Caenorhabditis elegans: one gene and its partner. The protein of the gene in region 1 purifies or fractionates together with the protein of each later gene. This does not show direct contact. Each region holds a gene or a part of one and is shown on either strand. Other genes may lie near its edges.

Region 1 (7,659 bases):
TGACACTTTTGCCGGAAAACCATTTTTTGTGATCTATCCGCGCAAGTCGCGTCATGGAAACTGAGCAAAAAACTAAGACACTTTGAAGCATGGAAAATAAATGGTTGTTGCCAGTATCAACATTAGAAATATCTGTAATTACATCTGAAACATCAATTCTCGAATCAACTCTTATTGGAATCGCGTGAAAGCTCGTGAATCTCGTGGAAAAATGGAGGATGTTGTGGATTATATGATCCATAACACCCATGGATGCGATGGATGATAAAGTATTTTTCTTTCGACTCAGGTGAAGACGATTATTCGATTTTGAGATGCTTAAGTTTTGAAATGAAGGCTTAAGTTTTGAAGATCACGCCTACGTGTCTGCCTTCTTGCTTTCATGCCCTGGATCGAAACCCTGCGAGTGTACTGGTGGGCACATCGTAAATTAACTGTGATCACAGATAATAGTTATTTCTTTGATTGAAATTACTTTTTTCAAAACGCCCGATTTATTCTGGTGTACCACCTGTTTTCAATTAACTTTCAAAAATTAATTTATTATGCAAAAAGTTCACATTATTCCCGTTCAGTTTCAGTTTTCAGTTCATCCACATCTTCACTCTTCTTTTTAGGCGACTTTCGTTTCTTACTAGATGCTGACGAATCACAAACTTTTTGGGAAGATGGAACTTTCTTGACTTTCACTATCTTCTCCGACTCCTCTACAGTTTTTGGGATTTTCACCTGAAAATGGGAGATATTGGAAATAAAAATTATAACTGTTATACTTACACTTTTTTCTTTTTTAGACTGGTCCGATAGCTTTTCATCAAATACAACCAACGGCTTCTGTCGTCCTTTCCAAGACAATTTGGCTCCCTGTGGTGGTGGTGTTACCAAAGTGGGTGGAGAGTCAGGGTGTTTTTCCTTTTTTGTCTTCTTTTTCACACAAATCACAAGAAGTGAAAATGAAAATGATAGCAATACGATAATCGCAAAAGTTATTCTGAAAAGTGTAAAAGTTATTTTACACAAAACAAAAATTTCAAAGTGCTCAATCATTTGTGCCATTTTTTCCTTGCTCTGTTCTATTGACGAAAAATTCCGAGAAGTATTTAGATGCATAATAGATTGAAAAACACAAAAATATCCATATAGAGACAAGGCCTATTATAGATTTTTCTTGTATCGTACCACCAGCACTTTATTTCATCTATATTTCACACACAAACATCATTATTTTTTTCAGTCATACCGTTCTGGTATACATCTAAATAGCAATACATAAGAAAAATCAATAATAGACCCCTCCTCATACAGGGTACTTCTAGAGTTTTCTCACTAATATTACTGAGTGGAACAGAATGAGCCAGAAATCACAACTGGTGCTATTCCACAGTTACACGTGGTGTCAGAGTCTCTCTCGGTTTGATCTATGAAAGTGTCTAAATTAGGCGCAATTTCCGGAGATGAAGCCTGACACCACGTGCTTTAACAGTTTGAAAAATCTCTCTCTTCTTACCTGCCAATCCATGAAAATACAACGTTTATCATATTTTCTAAACAAAATGGTAAAATGAATAAATTGACATCGTTGTGGGGGGTGTAAGTGTAATTATTAAAATGTCAAAAACGTGATCTATATTAATATTTTAAGAGATTGATTTAGAAAAAAACAACGAAAAGTTAAACTTGAGTGTAGCAACAAAGATCTAATCTTATACATATTTCAGTAAACTGATTAAAATTTAAAAAAAAATTTTGCTGAATATGGGGAAAATTGGATTACACAAAGGTGACATGAACTTGTGTTGTAAGTGTTCTTAACTCCATCTGGCACACACCGTATGCATAGTTCACCACTACAGTAACCCTAATAGTATCTGTGAATTGCTATTTAGAATCATCATTCTTATTTTTCCGCCTCATTTCCATAAATATAACTTTAGTTTTCAACTCAAAATCTTTACAGTTACAAAATAAATTCAAAATTCGAATTTTTCTGGTTCATAATCGTAGTTTTTGTATTTAAATTTGTTGTTAAAAAACAGTAAAACAGGCGTAGCTTCCGTAGATCGATACAAAAGTTGACACTCTGCATAGAAGTCTGAATAACGACATCTAAATACAAATTGAAAATATTTAAACACTTTTGCCAAGTTCTGAAAATAAGTAATTTTAGCCCGTTTCATGAGTTTTTAGAAAAATCGATTTCCCAATAAATATCTTCACAATTGAAGCTTTAAAGTTAACTTTGCCATTGCTAGAACTTTTATTAGTAAATCATCAAAATATATTATTTGAATATATTAATTTGAACATTCAAAGCATAAATTTCTATCGTATCACCGCCGCGGGCCCTTTCATCAGTCGCTTCGAGACCGGTCAATTGAAAAGAGAGAGTGAGAGAGAGCGCGCGCGCGCCAGGAAGAGAGTATTAGAGAAAGGGTGAGAGATGAGAGACGCAGACCACCAAAGGAGGTAACTCTCAATCAAATGCCGTTCGCTCGCTTTTACTTGTGCATTTCCGTTGTTTAAGTCATACTTCGCGCTCAGTTCTCCATTTTTTCCGAATTTTTTTAAATCTGGAAATTGTAGCACTTCAGCTTCAAAAATTGAAGTATTATTCCTTTATTTGTTGTTAATTACTGAACAATGTAGTAACAAAATCGCGAAAAATTAACAAAAATCGCTTTTTAAGTTGATACAATAGAAATGTTCACTTCCAACAACTTTCTATTTAAAAAGAAAATTATATGTTCAATAAAGAAGCCGTGCTCATTTTCAGTTGATAATTCTTTCAAAGCTAACGAAAGTTTTTTCAAGATATTACGAAACTTTCGGGGTTTTCGAATAAATATAATTAGTTTTCTCTTGGGGATTTTTAAATTGTAGAGTGAAAGTTCATTGAATTTTGCCAGTCGTGCTCTTAAAGATTGTTCTAAGAAAAACTGTAAACTTGTTATTTATATTTATCCATTGCAGGCTGTAAACCTTTAAAACAAATTGGTGAAGCATACGAAAAGAAAAGGACGGAAACACCGTCGTCAAACACCAGGTGAGAATATTTTATCTCTTGAAAGTTATTAACTTTTTTTTTCAGGACAAGGAATGAGTGGGCATTCAGTTGACGGTGAAGAGCAGAGCTCGTCGGCCCCGGCAAGAAATCACACGCTTACGCACGTTTTGTACGCACAAGAAGCTGTCGGAGATGAGAAGAAAGACTCTGCAATTATTGATTTGTACGTGTTCAAGTCTTTAGAAAATGCCAGCTATGGTCTAAACAAACAAATTTTGCAGAATTGTCGACCAGTTCAAGCAAGAAAACATAGGAAACATTTTGGCAAATCCAGCAATCGCTTCTCTTGGCCCCTCGCGAATTAGACAAGTTGTGCTCGGCCCGAAGCATGTGGGAGTGCTGTTGGATGATGCAACTGTCTGTCGGATCCCATATCATGTTCTTCAAATTCAAAGCGGAGAGGTGAAGGAGGCTGAGGCCGTCAAAGGAGAACCATCATCGCGGTTGCACGATGTTTATGCTCGAGCTGGTGCTGCTGGAGAAGTAGAGGTCATTCCATTGAGTGGTGGTATGAACACACTGAGAGCAGCAGCTGGACAAGCCAAATATCGGAGAGTTATGCTTTCAAACAGGTTTTTGCGTTAAAAAACATGTTCAATAATTAATTTAATCCTTCAGAGCTTATTATCGTCTTCGTGGCAACCTCGGTGAATCAAGAAGCTATGTTCTAGGTGCTCCCCGAGTTCCTGCAACAAATGTTCCAGAGGAACTCATCAATAATGTTCAAGTTCGTATTTGTCGTGATAAAATAACATTATTTGATGATCTTTTTCAGCAAGTTCTACAAGGAAAGTCTAGGGATGTAATCATCAGAGAACTCCAAAGAACTGGCCTAAATGTAAATGAAGCAGTCAATAATTTGCTTTCAAGGGACGATGGAGATGGTTTGAATATTTAAATTAAAATGGAAAATTTCATTATTTTTACAGAGCAAGATGTACTAGATGTCGGAGGAGAACATCTGATTCCAGAGGAGTTACTTCAAATTTTGGAAGGTGGTGTTCCACCAGGAAGTAGTGGAGCTGTTGCAATGGCTGAAAGTCTGCTAGAACGTGGTAGGTGCCTTATTCAAATATATTGTTCATTATCCCCTTCGTTGTTGCTACAGAAGATCGTTTGCTGGATTCACTGGCATCTCGAGCCGAAATGAGATATCATTTCGGAGGTGCGTCCGGTAGTAAAAAGCCAAAAGCAAACGAGAAGGACAAAAAGAAGAAAGATAGTGAGACAAATTGGAAGAATTGCATACAGTTGGGAGAACATGTTGAGTGGTGGCGTGGAGCTCCAGGAGACGGAATTCCTGAGCATGCAAAGTAGTTTTCTTAGAATCAATATGTGCATTCAATCCATTGCTTTCAGAACCGATGCTCCAGTAAAATCTGAAGACGATAAAGCAAATCCAGTAATTAGTATCACGGCAACAAGTTATCAGATGTATGCTCTTCACAGAAACGGCAAAATGTACTCATGGGCGTGGGATGAGTCTGAAGGTCTTGATGATCCTTTGACTATTGTTAAAAACCGAGATCATCCCGACCATGCTACAATCGGAACACATGGAAATCCTGTTATTCAAATGTCATCCAGTAACTTGAGAATCTCAATTCTCACCCGATCCGGTCATTTGGTCAGCTGGCTCGATGAATGTGGAGCAGGCGTTCGATTTTCACTTGCTTCTGAAACAGTCACTAAGATCTCAGAAGACTCGGTGATGGCCGTTCAAGATCTGGTTACCAGCGATCATCTTGCCGCGTTTCGAATCGATAGCATTATTCATTGGTGGTATGTTTGATGTCATTTCCCTAGAAATATACATCAAAATATCTCATTAATTGTTTCAGTGGTATTGTGCCTCTTGTGGAAAGTACACGCTCTACTAAAAAGGAAAAAGAAGAAGCAGATCGTGAGAAAAAGAAGCATGTGTCATTTGGAGAAGCACCTGTGTCATCTATACCGGCGGTTCAATCGAATTCGATTGAATTTTTTGTGGGACAACAAGTTCAAATGAAAAAAGCTCCTCTGTATCCTGCAGGAAGTGTTGCTGCTCAAATAGACACTAGCAACCCCATGGTATTTTTTCAAAATAAGAATTTATGATGTAGATGACAACTTTTTTCCAGATTGGAGTTCTTCTGGAAGATTGCTGGAGTGCCACAGACCACTGCCGTTTTCGCAGCATGACACCTAAAGAATACGATTACGAGCTTGAAGTTGATGGATTCATTGCTCTACTGAACGGAGCATCACCAGAAGTATCTTCTGCCAGTGGAACCTCAACCAAAACGCTCCCAGGGGGAAGAGTCTCTCGGAAACGAACCCACGACGAAGCAGACGATTCGAATAGTGTTCCACCCACAGAGTTCGGACGACGACGCGTTGAAGTTTGGCTCGCCGAAGATCTTGTATGGATTCACGAGCATCGGAAAAGAGATGTCATGACGGTGCAAGTCGTTGACAATAACCTGGTTGCTGTTAAGCATGTGCCAAATTCCAGCCAGAAACCAATTTTCCAGAGTTTATTTAGCGAGAGACTTGAAATGGACGGAATGGTAACTTTAATTGAATATTGCATTCTTGAATTATTTTCCAAATTTCAGCCTCAGACTGTGATTTCAATCGAAAAATCTACGGATATCGACAAGATACGTCTAATGCGTAAAGAAGATTTACAAGTAATTGACAAGTGTCCTCCACGTGCTCCAGTCATTTTGCAAAAGGAATTGTTGAAATTCGATGTAGATTGTAATCGAACAATTGTATCAATGGTAGCTGATTTGAATGAACTCCGGGTGTTGGCTCGAAGTAAACACGTCGAACGTGGAATGCACATGTACCGAGTAAGCACGAACGGAAAAGTTATTTCAAGAAGACGAGTTCCTGTATTTCTCCCATCTGTTGAACGTCCAATTTTTGGAGGATTGTCTCCAAAGCTGATCAGTTTCGGAGATGTAAGATTTAAATATCTAGTAGTACTAAACATCTGAACACTATTTGCAGGCTCGGACACTTTTCCTACGAGACACTGCTGGTCAATTGATTCCTCTTCAACGTGATGCTTTAAATGGATTCCGTGAACCACCAGCAATGCATTCTCAACCAATTCTTCACATCGCTACTGCATGTAGACCCAGTTTTAACGTGCTGGCGTCTTGCGAGGTAGATAATGACTTACCGACAAAAATTCAAACCAGTTTTCAGAAAAATTCTCAATGGCAAGGTTCGATGCTGATTATTCCTGGCGTTGATCGTCCTTGGCATAGTCATTTCATCAAAGATGGATCGTCTTTGATGCAAATGGTCTTGTACTGTGACGCAGATGGTGTCAGTCAATTTTTAGATCGATTATTCGAGTTGAGAAGTATGTATTAGAAATTGTTATTTATAAAATTTGGAATCAATTTTCAGTGAGCTGTACCATCAGTCATCATGAGTTCCGGCAGATTATGAGCGAACAATTGTTCACTATCACCTCGGATCTTTGCTCAAACGTCTTACATGCGGCGATCCGGCTAACAAGTGCTACCAAAAACTCGGAAGATTCTGATAAAGCTGTTCCTGATACAACTATGCCAACATTGTTCCCAACCCGAAATATTACACTACCACCACAAGATGTATCCATGGAAGATGCAGCCCCAGCAGAAGAATCGAGCTCTTCCAATATGCAAGGCGATGAAATTGATGATGAGGAAGAGCCACGATGGTCACGAGTACTCAGAAGCAGACCGAAAAGAGAGCAAGTGACACCTTCAAAGAAATCGAAAAAAGAAAAACGAGCTGATTCTGAAGAAAACGACGAGTACGGAGGTGAAAATCATTCGTTCTCTGCAGTACGATCAGATGAAAGTGGGATGCCGTTCGGATCTCCAAGGCCACCGATGGTCCGTCAAAAATCAGCACTTCAGATTATTGACACTTTTCTGAAACATCCAGCAATGTTTTATGACAAGGACGCTGAAGAACATATTGGTATATTTTTGAAATACGAAACTTTCAAAACAAAATTTTTTCAGAATATGTGGATGAACCGGACCGTCTGTCTGCTGTGAAGGCGCTTCTACTTACGCGTGATCTTAATGGAATGACTCCTTTCCAATCAGCCATAAATCAGCGAGCTTACGGTGCTGCGACTAGTATTTGGAGAGCATTATTGCAATTAGGATTCCAGACGATGTCGGAGGAGCAGAAATTGAAGTACATTTTCCCGAGTTTTAACGTCGATGAAAGTCACAATGCTGACGACTCTCCGCTTTTCATTCTTTGCTACAACGATGTGTGTTCATTCACTTGGACAGGAGAAGATCATATTAATCAAGATATTTACGAGTGCAAAACGTGTGGACTAACAGGATCATTGTGTTGTTGCTCAGAATGTGCATTGACGTGTCATCGAAATCATGATTGTCGATTGAAACGTACATCTCCAACTGCATATTGTGACTGCTGGGAGAAGAGTAGCTGTAACTGCAAAGCTCTGGTAACTAAAAAGTGCGTATTTTTGAATTTGATATCCTATTTTTAGATTGCTGGAAATGAGCTTCTTCGCGAACATTTGCTCAGTGAGCTTTTAAAGTATACCCGACTGTTCGAGTATC
Region 2 (9,383 bases), on another chromosome or scaffold:
ATTGAGATATGGAAAAAAATGCCCTCATATCTCATTTCTCGCTTCGAAAAAAGGAAAACTTCAATCGAGTTTCACGTGTGACACTTTGAAATTGGAAAAAAAGGAGAAGCTGTGAGAAATTCTCGCATTTCCTTTTTCTTGTGTGTATGTGTTATGCTGTCTCTATGCTCAACAAGACAGAGAAAAAAGAAAGAGAGAGCAAAAATAGCCTGAATTTGCTCGAAATGTGGAGGGGAAACGGGAAAAAAGAAGAAGCTGAAGAAAGAGGCCAACCAGGAGGAAAAAGAAGAGGAGCCGTCGCCGTGGCACACTCAATCGGCCAGAATGGCAACAAAATGCGTCCATGCACAAATTGACGAAAAAACGTGGAGCTGATGTTGCTGAAGCTTCTCTTCTTCGATACCTTTGCCGTGTTTTCATGGGCGTCGGAAGATCATGTCATAACTGACACACATGCACTTTCCGCATGAAGGAGTATGTTGATGAGAAGGACCGCAACAGAAGAAGCTTAAAATAGAGACAATATGCACGGAATGATACGGATGACGAAAAGGGCAGCTGCAAACTCATTGAGAAGAGCAAGAGCGAAAGAAAAGAGCCTTAACCGAGGCAACGCCCAGAGAGTTTAGATGTTGTCAAGGCGACGGTTTAGGGGGAAAAGAAAAGGATATTCCTCAACAGCTATTGTATATTCAACAATACTTTGAGGGAGATGGTGTGTTAAGTTTTAATGAGAATATATAAAATTTGGGTAACACATTTTTTTTAGCAGTTTCGCGTTATTATTCACCTATTTCTATTTTGGAAGATATTTGAACTACAGAAAAAATAATTAAATCTAAAAATTTCCACAGAAAAAGTAAATAAAGACATACCAGTTATATAAATTCTGTGAGTATAGTCTTCGATTGGTTTTGCCATATCGTAGTTGAGTACCAGTGATACATCTTTGACGTCGATCCCTGGAAATCAAGTGAATATTATTTTTATTTTTAAAACATTCATAATTTTTAATGAATTTTTAACTGAACTTCTAACAAAAATTCCCGACATTTTTCATAATTCAAAGAATTTTTAACAGCACAAACCACGAACCTCTTTAAGCAACATCAGTAACAAAAAGAGTACGGTATCCATCTAACCTTTTAAAGCCTAGATCTTTAAAGGCGGATTCTCCCTGTTCCTGACTAGGGAACCGTCAGAAGGTGTCCATCGGACTTGCATATGAGATCTTTGTCATTCGAACGCCCAGGTCTTAAAACGGTTACCCGTGAATGTTTAGCAGTAAAACTCCAGAGCTAAGCTCGCGGCGGGCTTTCAAATATCCTAAAATATCTCCGCGGATAAATTTTTTACAGAAAAGTCATCAACTAAAAAGTTGTTGATATTGTTGGAAAGTAAAAGTTTGTAGCTGAAAGTTTTTTACCAAAAAACATTTTGTTTGAGATAAAAGCATTAGAATAGCAACAGCTTAAAAATAACAGCAACAGTTGCCGCACTTCACGCGCTTTTATCTCAAGCAAAAATGTTTTTGATAAAAAACTTTCAACTACAAACTTGTTCTTTACAACAATATCAACAACTTTTTAGTTGATGACTTTTCTGTAAAAAATTTATCCGCGGAGATATGAGCTACCAAAGTGAAATTGGAAAGTAGGCCCTTCAATGCTTCGTTAAAGTGCTATTTTCAGGATCTTTGAGAGCCCGCCGTGAGTTTGGTTCTGGAGCTTCACCGCTAAAAATTCTCGAGTAACCGTTTTAAGACATGGGCTATCGAATCTCATATGCTAGTTTGATGGGCACCTTCTGACGGTTCCCCAGTGAGTCTTTCCTCCGTGAAAAACCGTGGATTTGATCTTCAGGTTTACGAGACCTTTTGAGAGCATGTCGGCCCATTTTTTTTGACAACATTATGATTTTGTTAGGTTTTATTCCTTGGCGAAGGTTTTTTGGAAAAACGATTCGAACACGTCGACGAACTTCTTATTTTTATAATTATCTAACATGTACCCAACCTTTAAAGATTTATTTATTTATTTTCAGTTTTCCTTTTTTCACAATAACTAGTAAAACGTATTTCAAAATACTATTTTATTTTATTTTAAAAAAATTATGATCAGTGTGGAGTGAAATATTTCAGATTTTTAAACTTTCAATTTCGTTTCTTAAAATCGAAAAATTAATTATTTTGCTTCCTAACATGAGAATTCATTTAATTTGAATTTTTCCACGAGACTAGCTTTAAAACACACATTCTCCGAATAATGTGCTCTTGGAAATCCGACAGAGAGCAACTTTTCATGATCATTTTCCTATTCTGGAATTAATAATGAAATTTGAACGGAATGATGGGGTCAGGAGTATTTATTTAACAGATCTGGTAGAACAATCATATAAAAATTGAATAAATAAATATAAATGTTGAGATTTTCCAAACAAAAAAGAGAATTATCACTTCAAGAACAATGTTTCATCTTGTCGTTTCTTTGATGTAAACACTCCAGGCTTACTCTGTGCATCCGGATGATTCGCAAGTTCAGGTGGGCATGATGACACTGGCGATTCGACCAGAACCTGGAAAAAATACGAGTTAAAATATTTTTATTAAAAGTATTTATTGAGTGATACATTTTCTTTTGAAACTTTTGAAAAAAAAAACTTTCAAAAACGATTATCTTGGAATTAGACGGAAATTTTGAAAATTAAATTCAAAACATTCATTAACGACTTAATTAAAGGGCATCTCATCGAATTAACCTTATTCGAATAAATTTTTTTCGGAGTTGTTTCTTTTTTTCATTGTAATTTTAATTCGCTTGCAGTAACTACAGTAACCCAAAAGTGGATTTTTTTTTTCTAAATTGTTCAAGAACGCTTAAAATATTTTTTTTAAATATTTTATGAAACGATTAACTGATGTTTTCATTTTTAACTACTTATTTCATCGATTATCTTTCAGAAAACCGAATGCAAATCTTTTCTTTTTTGTTGATATTTGGACAAAAAATTAAATTTTTTTTGTTGGATTTTTTATCTTTAAAAAATTTTCATTTTTTCATTGTTCTTTAAAAATAAAAATTAAACTAAAGTCCTCAATTTTTCGTTTTTCTTGTTTAGTTTCTTCTTTAATTTTTCGCAAATTTCAATTTTTATTTTTCGACCTAAAATCAAAACAAAAATTTTTTGATTTTTAGGTCCAATATCATTTTTGGTGTCCGGTTTCCGTCACAATTTTTACCTGCTTCAAGTCGAAATAGACGGCAGTATCGTCAGGTGTGAGGAATGTGATTGCTTTTCCATGTTTACCAGCTCGACCTGAAATTTAAAAGAAATTATTATATGTGATCAAGAAGAAAAGTGTGGAAGTTTTCAGATGCTAGTAGCTTCAAAATTTATGAAAACTTCTACGCATTTTTTTTCATTTTTTAAAATTTTCTTTAAATAATTTCTTACTGCTCCGCTGTTCTTTATCTTTTTTCCGTTGTAATAAATCATACTATGTGGAGATAAATTTTAAAAAAATGATGTCCTCAAGAATCTCATATTTTCCCAAAACAGAAAATTACACTTCATCAAAAAATTTCCACAGAAAAAGTGAATAAAAACATACCAGTTCTACCAATTCTGTGAGTATAGTCTTCAATTGATTTTGCCATATCGTAGTTGAGTACCAGTGATACATCTTTGACGTCGATACCTGAAAATTAAGTGGATATTATTTTGATTTTCAAAACTTTGAATTTATAATTTTTTAGTTACATTTCGAATCAAACCTCTTCAATTAGTTTTTTTTTTAAATAGGGGAATCTCAAATTTTTGGGTTTTCATTCAGAAGAGTTTGAAACTTTCAAGAAACGTTATATACCGTATATTCTCTATTAGAGCGGCATGCCGCACTAATTTCCGGGCCCTTCGCGACGTGCGCTCTATTAGAGACTGCCGTTCTACTGGATACTGCCGCACTAATTTTCGATAACTAATTTTCATATTGAAGTTACTACTGTTGGGAGTAGTAACCTCAAAATTTCCTTATAAAACCTCATATTTTATGGAAAAATTCGTGAAAATTGTGTAATTTTGCCTCACAAAGACACTAAAATTCAATATTTAAATGAAAATTTATGAATTCATTCAAGAATGAACAAAAATATCTTCGAAGAAATCGAATAATTGAGGTGGCTCTCGCACCCAAAAAAAGGGGTGCCACACTAATAGAGACTGCCGCTCTAATTTTCGAAGAGCCAGTTAGGGTGCCGCTCTAATAGATACGCCGTACTATTAGATACGCCGCTCTAATAGAGAATATACGGTATATATATACTTGAAAAAAGTATTTGAATCAACAATTTTTTTCCAAAAAAAAAAACGAACCTCTTCCAGCAACATCAGTAGCCACAAGAATATCACTCGTTCCTTCTTTAAGAGCCTGCAGAGCGTATTCTCTTTGATCTTGACCTTTTCCTCCGTGAAGAACTGTTGGCTTGAAACCAAGTTTGGTAAGACCTTTTGAGAGCATATCAGCACCTTTCTTCTGATTGACAAAAATAATAATCGGTGGTTGGAATTGTGATTCGAGCACTTCGACGAGCTTCTTACGTTTACGATCCTCTGGAACCATGTAGACTACCTGAATACGAAATATTTTGGAATTTTTAAAAAACTTGAAATTTTTTTGAAATTTCTTACTAAAAAATACTAGCCTCTGAAAAAAGACACTGAAAACAGAATTCCCCCTTTCTGCGTGGTTTCAATCCAGAGATGGGACTTTTTTTTGGCATTTTTTGGTAATTTGACGAAAAATTAATTTTTTGATTTTATTTTTTAGAAAACCAACAAAAAACCAAACAATTTTTCACTTTTTTCAGTTAAAAAACAATTTTTTGGGTGTTCTTAATTAGTTTTTAGCAAATTTTAGTTAACAACTTTTATGAAGCTACTTTAGGAAGCTGCCTTAGTTCTAGTAATTTTTCTAGTTCAGCTTAATGTCGAAATATGAAAAACGATTCTCATAATTATTTTTCTTTTCTACCAAGAATAAAATAAATTACCTGTTCAACTCTTTCTGTAGGCTTTCCAGCAGATCCAATATGTACAACTGCTGGTCTTCTGAGATATTGTCTGGCAAGTCTTTCGATAGCTGAAGACATTGTAGCTGTGAACATGACAGTTTGTCGATATTTCTCTCTTGTTGAGAATCCCTTCATCAAAGCTTCTTCATTATCGAATTCATCCGTATCTTTCTTCATATTTGTATCTGGCATGTACTCCAGAACCTTCTGAACATCTGGTTCAAATCCCATGTCAAGCATTCGATCAGCTTCGTCAAGGATCACATAGGTACACTGATTCAGGAGAAGATATCGATTTTCCAGAACATCGAGAAGACGACCTGGTGTTGCAATGACCACTTCAACACCCATTCGAAGCTTCATTCCTTGATCTTCTCTGCTGGCTCCTCCGATTACTGAAACGGTCTTGATACCGAGAAGCTTTCCGAACTTGTTGGTTTCCTCTTCAATCTGCTGAGCCAATTCTCTTGTTGGAGCCATAATAATAGCATATGGACCCAAGTCCCGATGTTCTTGTCGTTCCATTTTTGGAAGGCTTGTGATCCATACAAGCAGCGGTAGAAGGAAAGCTGCAGTTTTTCCTGATCCAGTTTCAGCTACACCGATTACGTCACGATTCTGAAGACCAATTGGGATGGCTTGTCTCTGAATAGGTGTAGGTTCCAGATAACCAATTTCTTTGACAGCTTGGTAGACTTCATCTGGAAATCCAGCTTCTTCCCAATTACGAAGAGGTCGTGGAACTCTGCCTCCTTTAATAGAAATATTGAAATCTTCACGGAAGATACGCCAATCTCTGTCAGACATCTCAGAAAGTTCTTTCATTCTCCAATGACGATCATCATGAGCCACTTTCTTTTCTTTTTTCAGTTCTTTTTCAAGGCGATGCATCTCTTGCTCTTTCTCATCAACAGTTCTTCGATTTTCCATCATTTCCTGGTAGAACGAGTTCTTCTCTTTTTTCTGAGCATTCACATCCGTTCCAGCAACAGATCCTCTTCCAAAGAACTGAATTTCATGTCGACTTTGATATAATTTGTTATAATCCTGTGATGTATCCTCTCCAGCATCCCAATCAAAAACAAACTTTTTCTCATGAAGTCTCCGTCCTCTTTTCTTCTTTTCCTTCTGTTTTCCAAGATATCTGTCTTTAACAGCATCTGCCATTTTACTAACATCTTCTTCATTATCACTATCCTCGTTTCTATCTCTTTTCCGATCATCATTTCGATCCCTTCTATCTCTACTTCTACTTCTATCTCGACGCCTTCCACCATCACGATCACGGCTCCTGCTCCTTCGTCGTCTATCTCGAGAACCACTTCTCTCCCGACGATCCCGTCGACGATCACGATCACGTTCCCGTTCACGGTCTCTGTCACGATCATTGCCTCGGTCAAGTCCACGATCTCTTCTATCGTCTGATGTTTTTTCGGTGCGTCCCCAATTTTTTCGAGCTTCTTCAGCTTGTTTTTGTGTTTCACGCAGTTTTGCGACCTCCTCTTCTCTTCGTTTCAGAGCCAATGCGGCCCGCTCGGCTTTTGACAGAAATTTTGGCTGAAAATTTGAAAATGGTTTGGTTTTTAAAAAATATGCGATGTTTTTTGAGATATTAAAAAATAATACATACCTTTGCCAATTCATCTTCTTCTCTTTTCTTCTTTTCCAGAAGTTCCTCAAGTGATGGAGGTTCAGCAGCCATTTCTCTGGAATTTAAGAACTTAAATGTTTGGAAAACTAATTAAAAATATGCTTTTACAATGGGAAAATGTAAAAAAACCAATTTTTAACATAAACCTACAGAAATGCATTCACCCTTTTCGTATATAATACACGCGACCGAGGTGGTATTTGTTAGGCCGCGCTCTCTTAGCGGGACATTCGAAAATGTCAATTCTCCGAATATCATATTAATTTTCTATAGAAATAAAGCTTCGCGCACATACACAACCGGAAACCAATCATAATAATATTAAAAGCAAGAAGCCTTTATTGCGCAAAATCAAAAAGGAACGTGCATGAAAAAATCAACAAATTCTCAAATGAAAAGCAATAAATTTTGATGAAAATTTAAGAAATTGGGGGATAATAAAGAAAAAGAAAACAGATCGATCTTTGTTGATTATCGCTCGAAGAAAGCTATAAAAACAAACGGTAAAGTTGGGCTTGTTGAACGGGATGGGGAATATTATCAAACACGGCAACAGATCATAGAAACGGACACACTGGGGGGAATAGAAAAACAATTTTAATATTTATTCTGGTTGTGGCTGCTTCAAGTTGGTCATACCAGCGCGCATCACTTCATCAACAAGCAAGAGATTGCATGCAAGTACTGTCGCCGACGAGATACTGTTCTTCTTCACCGTCACATTGTCCCAAATTCCTTGTGGCTCGACAGCTCCTCCGGTTTCGAGATCGAGTCCAACGGCGATATCTGGTCCAGCGGCGGTTTTCTCCTCAATAAGCTTAACAAGTGTTTCCTGAGCATCATATCCTCCATTTACGGCCAGTGTCTTTGGAATAACGAGAAGAGCTTGAGCAAACGCTTCAGCTCCGAGCTTGGCACGTCCCTTCAGGTTCTCAACATCTTTTTTCAACATCACGTAGGCAGCAATTTCGAAAGCAGCAGCTCCAGGGAGAACAGCCTCTGAAAATAGGTTACTAGAACAGAAGTTAATAAAATTTAAACTCACTGTCAACGATGGTGTTGAAAACAGCACGAAGTCCATCATGAATAGCATCCTTGATTTGAGTGATGGTATGCTTGTTTGGTCCCTTGATAAGAAGAGTCACAGATTTTGGAGCACGGCATTCCTCGATAAACGTGTATTTCTCTTCTCCAAGGGAATGCTCGTAAACGAGTCCAGCCCATCCAAGATCCTCTGGAGTCAAATCATCAACTGAGTTGACGGCTTCTCCTCCGACGGCCAGCTGAAGACGTTCCATGTTACGTCTCTTGGCACGACGAAGAGCAAGAATTCCTTCGGAAGCAAGCAAGTCAAGAGATGGAGGATCGATTCCTTTCTGGTTGATAACAACGAATCCCTTATTCTTACCATCTGGAGAATTATCAATAACCTTCTTCTTCAACTCAATAATCTTGTGAACACGACGAGTAATGAATTCACGTTCGGCAGCGAGAAGTGCCTCACGTTCCTTGGCGGTCTTGTAGAAAAGTCCCGAGTTGACTTCAGTCTTCTCGTATTCCAAAGAAACGTTGCAAGTGAGAATGTAAGCGTCTTTAACGTGTCTTGGCATATCTGGGTGACGAGCTCCATGATCGAGAACTAATCCACGAACAAGTGTGGTATCCATATCACTGTCGTGGTGCATTTCCATCTTTTCAACCATATGAAGATCTGGTTCCTCTCCATCACGACGGATTGCCAAAACGGCGTCGACAACGCATCTGAAATTAAGAAGATAATGTTTTTTACTACTTTTTAATTGTTTGTTTCTTACTCGGTGATGTGATCAGCAAGTTTCTGATGAAGTTTGGTACGAAGAGCAGTGCGGCACACCTCTACAAGGAGGTCACGCTCAACGGGAGCCTCTTTCTTGAACTTTTCAAGCAACTCGAGGGTTTTTGTGTTAGCCCACTCGAAGCCTTCAGTAACAATACGTGGATGAAGACCCTAAAATTTTAAATAAATGTTTAAAGTTAAACTTTGGAAATTGATCACCTCGAGAACTAGAGATTCGGCTTGTTTCAAGAGCTCTCCGATAAGGAGAACGGTGGATGTGGTTCCATCTCCAGTCACGTCGTCTTGTGCCGTCGAAGCCTTGGCAATCATTGAGGCTGTTGGATGTTGAATCGCCTGAAATTAAATAGTGCTAAACGCTGAATCTGAACAAAACGATCAAACCATTTCGTGAAGCAAGACATTTCCATCCTTCGTCAATTTGATATCCCCAGCTCCAGATACGAGCCTGAAAATGTGATTATAGTCTCAATTATACATTTGATCAGTTTATTCTCACATCTTGAGAGTTCCCTTTGGTCCGAGGTTCGATCTCATGACGTCTTGAAGTCCACGAGCTCCACTAATATTAAGCTCGAGAGCGGCAGCATGCCTAGCTAACTCAGCTTTCGGGTTCAGGCACTGGATTGACGACATACTACCTGAAAACAAGAATTCAACTATGAAATATCTCAGTAAAACCAACAAAAACTAAAAAACGGAGAAATGAGATTGGAAAACGATTCAAGAGGAAAATAGACACGCATAAAAAGGTTCGAGAGCATATTACAATTCAAAAAGGTTCTAAAATGTATTATTACATAACTTTTTAAATAAAAAATAAAGACTT

What was found. Proteins that work in one complex are often made in the same cells at the same time.
Region 2: the proteins of ubr-5 (region 1) and ddx-23 fractionate together in Caenorhabditis elegans (co-fractionation; one large-scale study listed by BioGRID). This does not show direct contact.

The regions. Positions count from the first base shown.
Region 1 is NC_003279.8:8,834,031-8,841,689, reverse strand, and holds the start of ubr-5 (E3 ubiquitin-protein ligase UBR5), read left to right. Parts: upstream 1-2,970; 5' UTR 2,971-3,043; intron 3,044-3,088; 5' UTR 3,089-3,096; coding exon 3,097-3,227; intron 3,228-3,285; coding exon 3,286-3,636; intron 3,637-3,682; coding exon 3,683-3,791; intron 3,792-3,839; coding exon 3,840-3,948; intron 3,949-3,993; coding exon 3,994-4,119; intron 4,120-4,172; coding exon 4,173-4,377; intron 4,378-4,423; coding exon 4,424-4,846; intron 4,847-4,905; coding exon 4,906-5,134; intron 5,135-5,184; coding exon 5,185-5,613; intron 5,614-5,661; coding exon 5,662-6,012; intron 6,013-6,061; coding exon 6,062-6,220; intron 6,221-6,262; coding exon 6,263-6,422; intron 6,423-6,469; coding exon 6,470-7,033; intron 7,034-7,077; coding exon 7,078-7,541; intron 7,542-7,586; coding exon 7,587-7,659. Other genes in the region: F29D10.1 (uncharacterized protein), read right to left, coding at 562-729, 778-1,056.
Region 2 is NC_003281.10:5,846,493-5,855,875, forward strand, and holds ddx-23 (putative ATP-dependent RNA helicase DDX23), read right to left. Parts: upstream 6,778-9,383; 5' UTR 6,772-6,777; coding exon 6,700-6,771; intron 6,627-6,699; coding exon 5,049-6,626; intron 4,628-5,048; coding exon 4,372-4,627; intron 3,698-4,371; coding exon 3,611-3,697; intron 3,316-3,610; coding exon 3,239-3,315; intron 2,575-3,238; coding exon 2,452-2,574; 3' UTR 2,346-2,451; downstream 1-2,345. Other genes in the region: cct-6 (T-complex protein 1 subunit zeta), read right to left, coding at 7,325-7,719, 7,766-8,481, 8,535-8,707, 8,756-8,890, 8,939-9,002, 9,054-9,190.